Drosophila melanogaster: one gene and its partners. The protein of the gene in region 1 interacts with the protein of each later gene in a pairwise test. Each region holds a gene or a part of one and is shown in the gene's direction. Other genes may lie near its edges.

Evidence for each region. The genes of interacting proteins can lie anywhere in the genome.
Region 2: the proteins of Ttd14 (region 1) and CG17826 interact in a two-hybrid assay, tested with the Drosophila melanogaster proteins (one large-scale study listed by BioGRID).
Region 3: the proteins of Ttd14 (region 1) and CkIIalpha-i3 interact in a two-hybrid assay, tested with the Drosophila melanogaster proteins (one large-scale study listed by BioGRID).

What each region holds. Positions count from the first base shown.
Region 1 is NT_033778.4:18,436,570-18,441,979, reverse strand, and holds the start of Ttd14 (TRPL translocation defect 14), read left to right. Parts: upstream 1-1,504; 5' UTR 1,505-2,025; coding exon 2,026-2,245; intron 2,246-3,704; coding exon 3,705-3,772; intron 3,773-4,002; coding exon 4,003-4,040; intron 4,041-4,367; coding exon 4,368-4,405; intron 4,406-5,251; coding exon 5,252-5,383; intron 5,384-5,410. Other genes in the region: slim (scruin like at the midline), read right to left, coding at 1-506.
Region 2 is NT_037436.4:11,947,212-11,952,941, forward strand, and holds CG17826 (uncharacterized protein), read left to right. Parts: upstream 1-2,627; 5' UTR 2,628-2,661; coding exon 2,662-2,689; intron 2,690-2,747; coding exon 2,748-4,975; 3' UTR 4,976-5,014; downstream 5,015-5,730. Other genes in the region: CG7252 (uncharacterized protein), read left to right, coding at 511-532, 593-1,995; obst-G (obstructor-G), read right to left, coding at 5,188-5,730.
Region 3 is NT_037436.4:707,885-712,692, reverse strand, and holds CkIIalpha-i3 (CKII-alpha subunit interactor-3), read left to right. Parts: upstream 1-2,331; 5' UTR 2,332-2,335; coding exon 2,336-2,383; exon of another isoform or gene 2,384-2,409; coding exon of another isoform or gene 2,410-2,445; coding exon 2,446-2,955; intron 2,956-3,079; coding exon 3,080-3,136; intron 3,137-3,198; coding exon 3,199-3,360; intron 3,361-3,409; coding exon 3,410-3,481; intron 3,482-3,538; coding exon 3,539-3,613; intron 3,614-3,669; coding exon 3,670-3,702; intron 3,703-3,764; coding exon 3,765-3,983; 3' UTR 3,984-4,092; downstream 4,093-4,808. Other genes in the region: CG13896 (uncharacterized protein), read left to right, coding at 936-948, 1,006-1,751; CG13895 (uncharacterized protein), read left to right, coding at 4,792-4,803.

The sequences.
Region 1 (5,410 bases):
GATTGCTGTTTATCCGACGAGAGGAAGACATTCAAGACACTCTTAGATAGCTCTGTACCCTCGTCCAGCTCATCGCTGGAACTGGTCCACTCGTCGGAGTACATCTCTTCGAATTCTGACTCCGAATCTGTATCGCCGTAGTCCACATCCACGTCCACGTCGTCGTCTTCTTCCTCCTCTTCCTCGTCCAAATCGCTGGCTGCGTCCATGAGCTCCACGGCAGCCTGAATGGCATTGAAACGGTCGACAACCTCACCGTTGTCCTGCTGCGGCAGAGCCTCCTCTGGCTGACCCACTTCCTCCTCTGGCATGTCCTGTTCCATGATCAGATCGTTATTATTGTTGTTGTTATTATTATGGTTGGCCAGCTGCTCCTGGTGGGCAGTTATACGAGGCGTCCTGTAAATCTTCGCCAGGAAGTCGCAGATAAACAAAAGAAATGTCCAAGTGTGACGCAGTTGGTCAAATACGATACACTTGAATTTGCCTGGATTTAGTATGTTCATAACACTCTCGATGAGTTTTGAGTTTTGATAACGTAACTAACAATTTGGTGCTTGATCTTGCCTGCCACAGGGAACAGAACAATTTTGTTACTTTTGTCAAATGTGGTTTTGGTTTTTCAGTTTTCTGTGGGAAAGGTGGGAGGAGGGTCTGAAGCGACCTCGCACAGCTGGTTAACTAAGCTGTTGTTGTTCATTTGATTTCTGCTGCTTCTGTTTCTATTGTTGTTGTTGCTACTGCTGTCATTTTGACACACACTGCCTCTCGCTCGCACCCACACACACACGCACCCACATGTGTTACGTTACGTGGTTTGTGAAAATGTTTGTTCCTTTGCTAATTCAACTGCTCGTCAATTTTCCCCGCTAGGCTATTGCAATTTCACTAGTTGTGGCACGCTGCCGATTTGTTTAATTATTGCAGTCGATTACACTCGCGCATCGTTTCGTGTGCGACAAACTACGCTTTAAATTTAGAACTGAACATTTGAGCAGTGTGGCCGTGGAATTATCGATAACTGGCATAAACGGTCATGCTGCATTCGAGTGCATTTGAGTCAGAGATGACACGCTATCGATTGCACAGTTGGCTATCGATAGTGTATTTCATTTTTTATAATTAAGTTGGGAGGCACTTAAAACAATATGCACTGTTCTAATTAGCATAAAAGAACTTTAATCAGAATGTTATAGCACCATCTGCTTAAATTAAATTAAAAAACTTTCAACTCACATTATCTGTGTATGTTTTAAATAAAAAAAATACAATTTTGAAGCAAGCCAATTCGAAATACATTTTTATAAAAAAAAAACCATTTTATGAGTTTTTAATATCCAAAGAAGTAAACAATGTATCTATACATATATTTGTTGTACATATTTATAATTGCGTTTATTTTAACTTAAAGTTATTAAATTATATCACTGTTCATATTAGTGTGACCATTTGCATAAAATTTCACCGTTTTCCCTCAATCCAAATGCGGCCGCATTTCATTCCAACAGTATAAGACCCCGTCGGCACAGGTATTCCACAAGATTCTGTTATTCGCTTGTGTAATTAACGGATGCGGTGTCAACTAGTAAAAATGCAATACCATCCCAAGTCGAATAAACTTTGATATTGCCCAAACAATCGAATGTGGTACAGATTGTGAAAGTAGCGTGCAACGCTGCCGTCTACTTAAACTTGTAAAGTTCCTCCTGCTCCGTCATCAGACTTTCTGATAGCATCCCGCGCAATCCAAATTCTGGGAATGATTTCAGCGCGCCAGTGCGTCATTTAAATTGCAAAGCGCACGAGTCCGAGCCACCAGCTGGATCTCCAGGATTCATAGACCAGGATCGAGACCAGGTCGGCAGAAAAGCACGAGGAGCCACAGGAGTTGCCCGAGTTCCACAGGCATAACCTTAAACGGCACGTGCACCGCGCGTAGAAGAGTTCTCTGCGTGCCACCACACAGCGAATCGGTTGCTCTCCCAAAAAACAAACACGCAATACCAAATTCCCGAAGTCGAAGACATGGCCACCCTCCTCAGCAACGGACAGCAGTCGGTAATGGCCAGCACCAGTAATGGTCAGGAGCAGCAACGGCACCAGGACGAACCGGAGCAGCAGCAGCAGGTCGAGATCAGAAAGTCGAGCTCACCGAAACCAGGCGCCATGCCCAGCTTGAAGCTGAACAGAATGGGTTCGGTGTCACCGAAAGATAAACGAGTCTACAAAATCGTCCTCACTGGCGGTGAGTTTTAATTTTCCCCCAAAACGAATGTATATCTAAGTTAGCTATCTGGGTTTGCTGTGTATCTGTTACAAGTGTCCTCGTTCACTCGCATCCTCGTGGCCCATACACCCACCCGATTGCGATTTGTTTACGATTTGTGTCAAGGTCGCGAATTTCAACCAATGGGTAGAGATTATGTCCTGCGCGCAGCTTCCCAAGCTCTTTCGCCACCTTTCAAGTGGGGTAGCTCTATCATATTTCGTTCTTTGTATTCATGTGGCTACCGGCTTTTGCGGCCAGTCGGCGCTTCAAAGACCCTCGCCAAAAACTATTTACAATTCATATGCGAAGAATTAATTCATAGGAAACCTGTTTTTGCTCGACCATCATATGAGCGGCGGTTGGGCGCGTGGTCTAATCATTTAATTTGGGCCCAAGTTATGGCTGTGATTAGAAGCGCAAAAAAAAAAAAAAAACAAAAAAAAAACGAAAGCATTGATGTATTGACGGGCCTATCTACCCCACACATACTACTTATAGTATTATCGCCTACGGTGCGGGCTTCCTCCGCCCGAGTGCTCTAATAATTTTCGGAAGAGGCTGATAAAAGACAGGCACATCGCCACGTGTGTTACATTGACGAAAATCCCTTTGGGAATCCCAGTAAGGACCCATTCAAGGAATTTCTTATCGTTTGAATGACGAACGTGACTCTTTTTAAGCGTGCATTCGGAATCGATTTCTCCAGATCGCTGCGCAATGCATTCAGCAATGGGCGTAATTGCCTTCAGGGTCAGTCCGCAGACCTAATCGAGTGATATGCACAGCGGCGGGAAACTCAAGTGCACTTGATTTGCTGGAATTTGGGACACAAATCGAATGGATTCGTTTCCGCCTCGTCGATTCAAGCAATGAACAAGACCATGGCGACCTAGAGCCACCACATATCTTATCCAACTGATAGATAGATAGATAGAGTATAGCTTCTAATACATGTTCTTTCATCTCATCAATTTTAAAGTTGTTTTAAAATAAGCGTTATCGTTGATAGTTTTTCATAGAATTCATTAATTTTTTAATGGTGTACCTAAAACGTATTTAGTTGTCTAACGATATGTTAAGGCATTTACAAACCCAATTTACTGGTTCAGATTTTAATTTATGTAAACTGCAAGCACGTGCGAATTTGTTTAGTTAATTAATACAACCATGCTAAAGGAACGTGGTTCTTTTTAAAATGTATTTTTAGAAACCAGCAAGTTTTCGTTTTAAACTTTTTAGCAATATTTTCCGCACTAGCTCGGCACATTTCAATTGAGCTATAAAACATTTTACGGGAATTTTCCAACAAGTTTGAGCGCACCTTTCTCCCCTTTTTTCTGACAATACAAGCAGTATAGATTTGAAGAATGTAACCTTAGCCCGTTTGCCAATAAACAAATAAAACTAATGAATACATTATGCGTTGTTTTTTCAGGGCCTTGCGGCGGAAAGACGACGGGACAGTCCCGCTTGTGCACTTTCTTCGAAAACCTTGGATGGAAGGTGAGTGTCGTGGGTGGATTCTATTGGGGGAATGGGAAATGGGAAATGGGTATGCCGATCCTAGACTAAGGCAAGTTAGCGATTGCTTTGGGCCGCGGGCCGCTCTGTAAGTAGAGGAGGAAGTGAAGCCATGGCGATAGCGGGATTACCTTTAGATACGATTCCCCTCATTACAATTCTATTGTGCCGAAAACTCGAAACAAAGCAATGAGCATGTTAAATATTTTCAGGTATTCCGCGTGCCTGAAACGGCCACTGTTTTACTCAGGTAAATTCCCTCTCCACACACACTCTTACACTCAAAAAAAAAAAAAAGAAATTAACGTAATCAATGCAATGCTAGGCAATCAAAGCGAAAGGAGCCGCTCAGGAGTTTGCCACCTGAGATTGGACCAAGTAGCCTTGCCTGCCGCTCGTCTTTTACCTGTGACGATGACCATGCCGATACGAACTTAATTCCATTCGAGTTCCATTCTCGATGCTCTTGAACTTTGAAATACTTGATCTAGTGAATACAAATAGAATTTCATGTGAATGATGCTAATTCCCGCTTGTCTTTCTCTCTGTTTCTCCCCCAAACCATCCGAATATCTAGTGGCGGTGTGAAGTTCTCCGATCTGACCGAGAAAGAGGGTAAGTATAGATAGCAGGCGGTGGTGCAACCGACCGGGAGACCAAAGAATAACTTGCTAGTTAACTTAGCAGAGGAGATAAGAGAAGAGGAGTCTTACAATGCAAGCATTTTCCGAGTCCACACACACACATATCTCATTATCCGAGCACTGTCAAGTTCGATACCAAGTTTTCTCGAAGCAACGAAAATAAATCAAAATATTTACTTGCCGCTAGCGACCAACAGAAAGAATCCCTATACTATACGTACAATATATGCTAGGGGTATTTTTAAAATCAGGCAAGTGCGACAGCCAGCATACTATAGATAGTACGAGTATATACATATATCTGAGTATTTGGCCAGAAGGTCCCCCGCCTCACGAGAGTCACGTCTTCAATGAAACTTACGTAATTCCTTGGGACACGATTCGAATTCCCCACTCGATATCCTGATTGCGTGACTCGAGGTCATTTCGCTAGCTTTCTTCCTTTTCACTCGCCGAGCAATTTGTCAATTATGGTTATTAATGGATTTGTCAATGTGCTTGTGCCGGCGGGGGCGGAGAGGAGGCGCATTCGAAAATATCTAAATTGCCAAAAAGTACAATCAGATAAGATATAGAATGTAGCTACAGGTCTGATCACATGTCGGCCGATTAGTCGCAATTCCTTACAAAGCCTTCATGAGTAATGGCATTCGCAAGCAGGACAATTAAAGCCTTTATGAGTCACAAGCGGACGGGTACATCTATACATATATATATAGTATTTACGGCCAGCGGCTAATCTAATACACACCCACTCCCATACGATTACCTAAAATAAATCGCCAACCAAATCAACCAAAACCAACCACACTCACAGACCCGCCCACGCCAACCACGTTCGTTTACAAAGATCTGCCCTTCGCCGCTCCGGAGCACAGTCTCATCGATCTAACCGCATCCTGTCCGCGCTGCTTGGCCAAGGCTGCATCCCGGCCCAATGGCAGCGAAGGTGAGTGAGAGCCGTTGAAGCCAAAGA
Region 2 (5,730 bases), on another chromosome or scaffold:
AATCGAATTTAGTGGTTGGTTCATAAACTTTTATGCTGTATCTGGCACTTCATTTTGAGCGACAATAAACGTCATTTAATTTCAAGTGTCAATAAAGTGAATCGAGTGATTAGGTATACGTTATGTGGTTATCTAGGAGTGTGCGACAGAACGTAAATTAGGCAGACGCCGGGGCGGTACCCATTCAGCAGTCGAGAATCCGTAGACCTATGCCAAAATATTTGGTTTCTCTCCAGGTTGGAGGCACTGAAGTTCAGGTCTTGATAAGGCAGCCCGGCCCGAATCCCAGTGCCGAGCTTCAGACACACACACCTAATTACACCTGCGATAGCGTTCTGGCGCAAAACAAATCATTGCCGAATTAATCGAGAGATTCGTATGGTGATTGGTATTATCAGAAGATTGACTACTGATTTGGCGCACTCATGGCAGTTAAATGGTGCTACACGGCCTGGTTTGCCACTTAGTCGTTCGCGAAATTCGGACTACTTTAAAGGTGATCTCGGAAGAATGCGACCAATCGATTTTGGGGGTAAGCTGGTGAAGAGTTGGCTACCCAAGGCTAGTAACTTATTTCGGGTCCGTATCCTAGGTCTCTGGACCGTTCTGCTGCTTATCGGAGGTCTTCAAACTGTGGTAGCCCAGTTGACGAATGTGTGCCAAAATCAGGAAGATGGCACTAGACTTCCGTTGGCCACCCACTGTTCCCGATTTGTCGTTTGTCTGAAGGGAGAGGTTTCCATTATCGGTAGCTGCCCTCGTGGACTCCATTTCAATCGGGAGCTGAGGGAGTGCGACTTCCAGTGGCGAGCTAATTGCTTGGGACTCTCGGCCTTTGCCGAAGTGGATGATCAGTGTACCTGCGATTGCTGTGCTGAGGAGTGCCAGGATCCCATTGACGATATCGATGAAACTACCACGGCGGTCACCGAGGACTGCGATCCGGATACCACCACTTCAGCCACGGAACCCTCCGATTCCACGGAGCCGACGGATGCTACAACGGATTTCGATGACCCCAACAACTCCTCCAACACCACGCCTTCGAGTCCAAGTGTGGTGCCCTCGTATTGCAAAAGTTCCCGCACGGATTGCGTTAATCAGAAAACTGGCACCTATATAGATATGCCCGGGATCTGCGTGAGGTTCATCCAATGCAACAATGGTTGTGCCGAGGAATTCCAGTGTCCCTCCGGTCTGTACTTCAACACGGCGATAGACGATTGCGATTACTGGTGGAATGTGGACTGTACCCCCACCGCCGATGGCTCCACTGAGATCGAGGGACCATCGGGCACCACCTGCTCCAGTCAGGGCGAATGCGCTGGTAAGAGGGATGGCTACATGATTGCGGACCCCAATTCGAATGGATTCTTCGTCTGCCAATGCCAGTGCCCCATTGCGATGCCCTGTTCCGAGGGTCTGAAGTTCAACGAGACGGCCCAAGTGTGTGATTGGATTAAGGACACTAAATCCGCAATTGGTTCCTCGGCGGTTCAATGTTACGGTGACCTCGTCTACAACGCCACCTTAGACCAGTGCGACTATCCTGAAAACTATGTGCCCAAGGTGGAGTGCAATACCACCAGCACCGTGTGCCAAAACCAGCCGGAGGGAGAACTCTTTCCGGTGGAAGGCAAGTGCAACATGTTCTACAAGTGTAACTTCAACTGCGCCGTCGAGCAATATTGTCCGAACAACTTGGTCTACAACCCAAATACCGAAGAATGTGAATACCCCCAGGACTATGTTTGCCCGTGGGAGTATACCCCACCCTCTGGTCCCAATGCAGGACCTTCGGGAATCGCCTGCGAGAGTAATGGCCGTTGCATGGGACAACGTGAGGGTACCTACTTAAAGTCCACCACAAATTGTAGCAATTACGTCGTCTGCCAGTGTGAATGCGAGGTCGAGATGGAGTGCGCCGATGGCTTGTATTGGGACGAAAGCTTGCAGACCTGCAATTATAAGAACCAAGTGACCTGCACTCTTTAAATGACCGATTGGCAAATAAAGAAAGTGATTATCAAAGCAACTACTACTACTAGGATGTAGCCTAATCTGCCCATTTATTAATGAAACATTGGATCAGTAAATCATTTTAATCAGTTTTGTGGCGGGAATATGCCAACAGGTGTCGGCACTCAATGAGATTGGCAAGAGCTTATCGAACATAAATACCCATTTTTTTTTTTTTAATAAAGAAGGGGTATGTTTCCTGTAGGAATTTGTAGCTGGTCCAACCACTGCTATCACAATATAAAGCTTCAAAATAGTTAGTTCACATAGGTAAGTACCTATCAGTAGTTGTTCTTCTTTATACATATATGCACTATGGCGCATTGAAATTTCAATTTCAATCGATCGTTAAGACTTCTCATATATGAGCATCTTATAGCAACTGAAGAATAATTTCTTTTGGACTCTTTGATTTCGCGGATTCACAATGAACCGCTGAGTTTTATAAATAGTGACAATATCGATTGCTTGTATTACTACTGTATATATATGCTGATAGTATCACGGATGTTTCGACATTATCACCGCCACATGCTCTGATGCAGGAAGAGACATTCAATTATTTTAATTGCCGGTAAATATAAAAGGCGATATCTTCGAGCGAAGATTCATCAGTGAGCATTCGATACGCAGAGTGCAAAGATGGCCCAATCCAGAACTAAACACTATGGTAAGGACGGAGCAATGATAATTGGGAGGATGATTGTTGATCCGCGGTTTTTACCCAGGAGTGGCCCTGTGCCTAATAATTTCCCTCTTTATGGGATCGTCAAGTGCTGTGTGCTGCTCGGAGGGCGACACAAAAGTGGATGCGGATGATTGTACCAAGTATCTGATCTGCTGTCACGGCGAATTTGTATCCAAGTCGTGTGCAAGCGGATCCTATTGGAATTCGGAGTTAAATATCTGTGTCGTGGATGATGGTCAATGCAGACCTCCAACCTGTGTGGATGGAGAAATTACACCGAATCCAGATGACTGTGCCGGCTATTTAGAGTGCGTGGACGGAATCATAGTGATCCTGACCTGTCCAGATGGCGATTACTTCAATTCGACCCTAAATCGGTGCGTTGAAGATACCTGCGGCGTGTGCAACGGAAATGGAACGACATGCACTGATGGCGAACTTAAGGTGGACCCCACCAATTGCGCAGGCTACTTGGCTTGCTCGAACGGTAACTGGGTGAGCAAGCAGTGCGCTGACGGAGCTTACTTCAATGCCATACTGGAGACTTGTGTACAAGACGACGAGGGAATATGCGTCAATTGTAAAGAGGGATCTACAAAACCCTTGGCCGACTGTACCATGTATGAGATCTGTTCCGGTGGCAAGTATGTGACCAAGTCCTGCGACAGTGGTTACTACTGGAACAGCCAATCAGAGGTCTGCGATGTGGATAATGGTCAGTGCAATGGAAATGGAACGACATGCACTGATGGCGAACTTAAGGTGGACCCCACCAATTGCGCAGGCTACTTGGCTTGCTCGAACGGTAACTGGGTGAGCAAGCAGTGCGCCGACGGAGCTTACTTCAATGTCACTCTGGAGACTTGTGTACAAGACGACGAGGGAATATGTGTCAATTGTAAAGAGGGATCTACAAAACCCTTGGCCGACTGTACCATGTATGAGATCTGTTCCGGTGGCAAGTATGTGACCAAGTCCTGCGACAGTGGTTACTACTGGAACAGCCAATCAGAGGTCTGCGATGTGGATAATGGTCAGTGCAATGGAAATGGAACGACATGCACTGATGGCGAACTTAAGGTGGACCCCACCAATTGCGCAGGCTACTTGGCTTGCTCGAACGGTAACTGGGTGAGCAAGCAGTGCGCCGACGGAGCTTACTTCAATGCCACACTGGAGACTTGTGTACAAGACGACGAGGGAATATGTGTCAATTGTAAAGAGGGATCTACAAAACCCTTGGCCGACTGTACCATGTATGAGATCTGTTCCGGTGGCAAGTATGTGACCAAGTCCTGCGACAGTGGTTACTACTGGAACAGCCAATCAGAGGTCTGCGATGTGGATAATGGTCAGTGCAATGGAAATGGAACGACATGCACTGATGGCGAACTTAAGGTGGACCCCACCAATTGCGCAGGCTACTTGGCTTGCTCGAACGGTAACTGGGTGAGCAAGCAGTGCGCCGACGGAGCTTACTTCAATGCCACACTGGAGACTTGTGTACAAGACGACGAGGGAATATGTGTCAATTGTAAAGAGGGATCTACAAAACCCTTGGCCGACTGTACCATGTATGAGATCTGTTCCGGTGGCAAGTATGTGACCAAGTCCTGCGACAGTGGTTACTACTGGAACAGCCAGTCAGAGGTCTGCGATGTGGATAATGGTCAGTGCAACGGAAATGGAACGACATGCACTGAGAATGAGGTTAAGGTGAATCCTGCGGACTGCGCCGGATACCTACAGTGCATAAACGGAGTCTTTGTGGCCAGGAAGTGCTCCGCTACGCAGTTCTTCAATACCACACTGAAGGAATGCGAGGTCGACACAGAGAATGTGTGCATTCCCAAAACCTGCGATCCCGACTGCTGCGATGTGCCCAACAATTCCATCTGGCCCGTGGAGAAAAATTGCTCCGCCTTCTACCAGTGCGTAAATGGTAACAAATATGAGCAGCGGTGCTCCAACAACCTGCAATACAATTCAATAATAGAGCAGTGCGATTATCCCGAAAATGTTCAATGCGACGATGGATCTGCACCGCCAAGTGGTCCGATTGCCGGACCCTCGGGAACTTATTGCGAGAGCCACGGACGATGCGTTGGCCAGCGGGATGGTACCATGTTCGCCGATGCCAGCGGAGATTGTAGTTCTAATTATGTAGTCTGCCAGTGCGAGTGTGAGGTGAACTTCACTTGTTCCTCTGGACTTTTGTTCAATTTGCAGGTCAAATCCTGCGATTGGCCCGATAATGTTAAGTGCTAAGTGGTTTCAATAAACAATATTTAAAGCAGAGTATTAAACGAAAAGATTTTCGTTTTTCTATAGATAAAAACTACTTATTCTAAGCAGAGAATAGAAAATATTCCCCTTATTTTTAGTACTATATGATGTGGCTATATTTTCTCTGTTTAGGCTTTGGACTATTAAAAATTATTATAATTCAAGCACTTTATTGGGGTCTTAAAAAAATATAGTTAGAATCGACGTTTTTTTGACTTGCGCACAGGTTTCTTTGACTTGGATTTGCTTTCATTTAGCTTCGTCTGGCATTTTGCAATTTTGGGATAATCGCATCGTGATGTGGCTATATTGAAATGCAGGCCAGTTGGGCAGTCCATTACCAAAAACATCATGTTGCTGCAGAGCATAAACTTGCCACAATCGCTGCGATGAGCAACAAGAGAGTTTTCCTTTTCATCTGAACACACTCCTCCCGTGGTGGCAGGACCATCTGATTCTTTATTTTCTCGGGTTCCACCCGAACACTTGGCTTCTGAGGCCTTCATGCAAATGCGACGAGTTGGACTAAAATGTTGTTTGTCAGGACAAGAGCGCAGATGGGGCTTTTTTGCTTTGCAGACATAATATTCCTGGCAGGACCCGTTCTTTGTAAGCATCACTCCATCCTTCTTGCCAGCACACATTTTGTCAAGGGTTGTAGGACGCGGCTTTTTCGTCGCTTTGACAGTAACGGGAGGATCAGTTTTGGCCATTTCCTCATCATCGTCTTCGTCGCT
Region 3 (4,808 bases), on another chromosome or scaffold:
TGACTGCTTTACGAACTACCGAGTTAGCCCTTCACGGTTATTATCTAGGCCAAAACGGAAGTGCGCTTCTCGAGATATTCTAACCAAGTTTTTCACACATCCACCTCGGTGCGCAGGTGTTTCTAGAAAAAAAGTGCCAATTGTGCATATGTAAATTCCCTTTTTATTTGTGGCGGAAATTAAATTTAGGAGACGCTCGATTGGGTTGATACGGAAAATTGGGCATAGATAGTCCACGATAGGACTTAGCCTTTTTGACTAACTTTTTTCTTACCTAAAACTTACAGATTAGTTTATAAAAGATTATAATAGAAATCACTGATAATCTTATATAATTTGCTTAACAAATTTATTACTACAAAAATCAATATTGGTTTATTAAACTTTTTTTTACTGTGTATACTCGAGTATACGGTACCCGGTTATTTTACATTTATACTACTGCGCCCCTATCGACGAACTGTTTGGGCGACATCTAGCGTCTGTAAATGAAAGTCGCATTGCCGGTAGATGGCAGCACAGTAATAGTTATGTGCTTATTTGTAATGTATGTAGGTCCATTTCAATATTAACTTTCTATAATTAAGTTGCGGGAGGTCTCAACCTGCGGCAAGTACTCACTAAATCCTTACTGCGAGATTTTTAAATTCAAAAACTACATAATGGCAATTAAATGAGGCTAAGATGAGTATTTATATAAAATAAATGTTCTCTTCGGTAGCGAGTATTGATATAGATTAGGCAAAAAATCCATTTTCAAAAAACGAAAGCCTATTCCCATCTTTGTTTCGTGCAACCTTTTCGATAGTTATCGATAGAGAAAAATCGAAACACATATGTTTGGATCATGATACCTTTCTCTTACGCCGTCCGAAAGAACTGGCAGCCTGGGAAACAAAACTTATTCGTCATCAACTGAATAGCTATTGTAAACAATGGATACAAAGTGTGAGTAAAAAACATAAATTCAAGAAGAAAACTATATATATACTCACAATAAGCCAGCTTACGAAAGGAAGTGGTGTACATCCAACACCCGACTTTTATTGTCCCTTTACAATGAACGCCAAGCTGATTTTCGGGATCCGAAAAAAAAGATCAAGGACATTTGGGGGGAAATGGTCGTTGCCCTTGAAAGCCAGGGAATGACAGATATCGATGCAGTTCAGCTGGATCGAAAATTTAGGAACCTGAAGAAGACCTACTATAGCATAAGGAGCAAGCTCCTGGCGAAGGTACCGCATTTCCATCCAAACTGGCAGTTCTACGACGAGATGTCCGAAATTCTAAAGGATGACCCTGTCCCACCGCCGCAGGAACTTTCCATCAATGATTTCGATGAAGCGGTGGTCAGTTTGGAGACCGGTATCCAGAAAGGCAGGATGCTGTCTATGGGCACCACTGTCAGCACAGTTATTCCCCGCCAAATGCGTACGTATCGCAAACGAAAGCAGCCATTGGATGATGTCGATATCAAGATCCAGAAGGACTACGAAGTGCAAACGGATCGGCAGCGGGATGGGGAACAGTTTACAGTCTTTAATGCCGCCGAACCCAATACTAATGATTTGTCAGAGTCTGCGGCCGAGATCTCCATCAGCAACGACGAAGAGGCATTGAGACACCTAAGAGCGCTCCAGGAGTACGCCATGATCCATGATAATTTCAGGGCCATAGGACTGCTAATACAGGTGGAGCACGCCATTCAATATCCAGCCCAGATCAAGGACTTCGAGGTGGATCAAACGTAGTGTCCTTATAAACAAGCACGTAATCTACTGGAAAAGCAAAGATAAGATAAGGCACATACCTAATTTATACCTCTATATTTAAGATTTTAATATTTTATAATATATATACTTTAATTTACTTTATTTAAATATGGTTCATGCACTTGCTAACACCACTGAAAAATGAATCTGGTTCTAAACAAATCTGGCTTGGGTATTGGCTAAAATATTGCGCTGTGGCAATACCGTTTTCTAAAACCTATAGTTACAACAATCTAAAGGAATTTCACAAGAAAAACCAACATTTCTGAAATCTTATTAGTATTTTGAAGAGTAACAAAGTGAATCCTGCCGAGATCAACGCCGATCTGTAAGCAAGTTCGTCTTGGAAATTGACAAAAACCGAAAAATCTGGCAGCACCAATATGACACTAAAGGTTCAAGAAAAGACCTTCGGTTGCACAAAATAGAAAATTCAAACATAATTGAAAAGAATTAACTAGTATCGTGAAAACATGTAATACAGTTAATAAAAAGTTATAGTATTATGCAATATTGATCAAATGAAGCAAACTTTATCGATAACTTCGAAATTGCAACCCTAAATGCATCGGATGGGCAATACCAATCTGAAGTCTACAAAAAAGCATATTGTGGAAGTCTAAGTTTTGTTAAATTTATGGAAAAGGAATCCAATTTATCGGACAACTTGCAGTCCCGGTTATTTGCACTGGGTCCTGCCCCGCCAGGATTTCGTCCACCGGATGCTACCGCCTTTGCCACAGCGGAGTCAAATCTTCGTAATGCCATCCGCTACCTTAATGATACCTATGGCGAGCTCGATCAGCTGCGCACTGTCATCCAGAAGGAGAAGAATAACTCGAAGCGTACGTCCTACAAGGCGCAGTCCATGATGCTTGCCATGCAAGTGATACGTTTCAAAGGACTTATTGGGAAGTACAGGGACATTCTGATTGGCCTGCAGGATGCCGAAATCATCAAGGTCAAACAATACATAGAGCAAATGGTGGAGATGAGGAACAAAATCCAGGCAAAGACCGATCCCACACAGCGCGAGTTCCAAGTGGGCAGCTCAATCTCACTGGTGCAGGAACAGCGCAAGACCAAGAGAATCTGCCGCAGGTGGCGGGATCGCCTGGTCCAGCTGACGGAGGCCAAGATGGACAAAACTGAGCAACTTACTGAGAAACCAAAGCTGATCAATGTAAGAACCGTTACAAAAGAACTTATACATATTTTCATTGCGCTTCCAATATCCATCCATGTTTTCATGAAAACTCTCATCGAATTCTGATCGAATTTCGACTGAACTCGATATGCTTTTTTAGAAACCTAGAAATATGTTAAATGCAAAAACCAACAAGTGGAAGGAAGCTGTAAGCTTGGTGAGTATAGCCAAACATATAAAGGATAAGTTAAATGCTAGTAAATATAAAACTAATCCTAGCAACAAAGCGGTCTAATTAAAAGTGGCTGTAAGAGGTGTGAATACCTAAGAAAGCTGACTAAGAATCGTCCATCCAAACTTTGTAAGGTGTGTAAAAAATGGTCTGATGATGAAAAAGCAAAAGCGGCAGGAAATAAGAAAGCCAACAAAACGCCAATAATGGTATGACACTATTGAAAAGTCGCAACATAAATTAATACTATTATTGCAGGCGAAGTCGAAAAAATTAGAAGTACGCGTGCGTACGGATTCTGAAGAAGCTATAATTAAAATAGAGATAGAGGTGGGTGTGTACAAGTAGATCAACAGTAACATTAGCACTTATTATTAATTTTCTTAGCATGGTGAATTTACCGATGAAGAGGAAATTGGGTCATTGGAAAAGGAAACGACCTTAAAAGATGAGATCAAGGAGGTTAGTTGTTTCTTCAACCTGAAAAATGTGTTTAATTTTGGAATGTTTTTTTTTAGACTGTTGAATCTCACGACACGGCAGCAGTTGAGGTAAGTAAACAGGTCCTTGGACTGTAATAGAACTAACGTAACGATAAATGACTCAATGACAGGAGGAAAATGAGACCAGTCAAGACGATGTGGACCCCAAAGTAGTCGCTTCCTTACAAAATTCACTGAAATCCATCGACTGTAAAAATATGGCCTTGGCCTACGTGAAGGTCTTACAGGAGTACGCCATGTTAAATGATAACTATCGGGCCATTGGACTACTTACTGAAGTTGAAAAATCAGTTTTAAATCCGCCTCAGAACGAGGATTTCGATCTATGATCTTATTGACGCCACAAAAATAAAGTTTAGTTTTTATATGTAATCTACAATTAAAATGTTCGTGTGTCCTGCCTTTGAGAGTCAAGACCCAAAATGTGTAAATAATTGTAATATGCGAAAAGAGTTTATAGAGTGGAATAACCAACAGGGTCCCACTTAAATGTGGTAAACGTTAAATTAAGCACTAGATATAATTTGAGCAAAAATAGCTTTATATATATGTATGTGTACATATCAAACCAGTTTCAGCTCAGATTAGGTGGTAATGCGATTTGTGTTTTTCGGCATGTTAAACCAGTTATAGCTGCTTTAGCGAGAGAATATTTACTCTCGATCCGAAAATAAATCCCATACCGCGAACGAATACCACCACGATCGGAATCGGAACGTGGGAAGTCGGTTTAGATCGCGAGAGAAAGAGCGGAATGTCTCTCGCAAAGATACGGTTTTTGCCGCTCCGCCAAACGGAGGAGAGTCCAGATCTCTGCAATGTTCGGACCGCATGCTCAGTCATTGAGTTGCACTCGCTCTGGCAACTTTAAACACGTGCGACCGCACATATTTTCTGTTTAATGTGCCTAAAAAACTGCTGTATATTTTCAACAAAGTGTACTTTATGCTCTAAGCTTTCCGACTGAGGTATGTAAACAAGATTTCTAGCTCTTCTCTGTATAATAACTATTTCGTTTTAATTTCATTGTTAAAGGAACAGAATTATATTGGTCACGTGAGGAGGGGGGGCCAGACTGGGAGTGCGAGCACGCTAAGAGAGAGTGGAGAACCTGAAAGTGTGAGAGCGGGAGTGGAAATGTACTCTGACGTAAG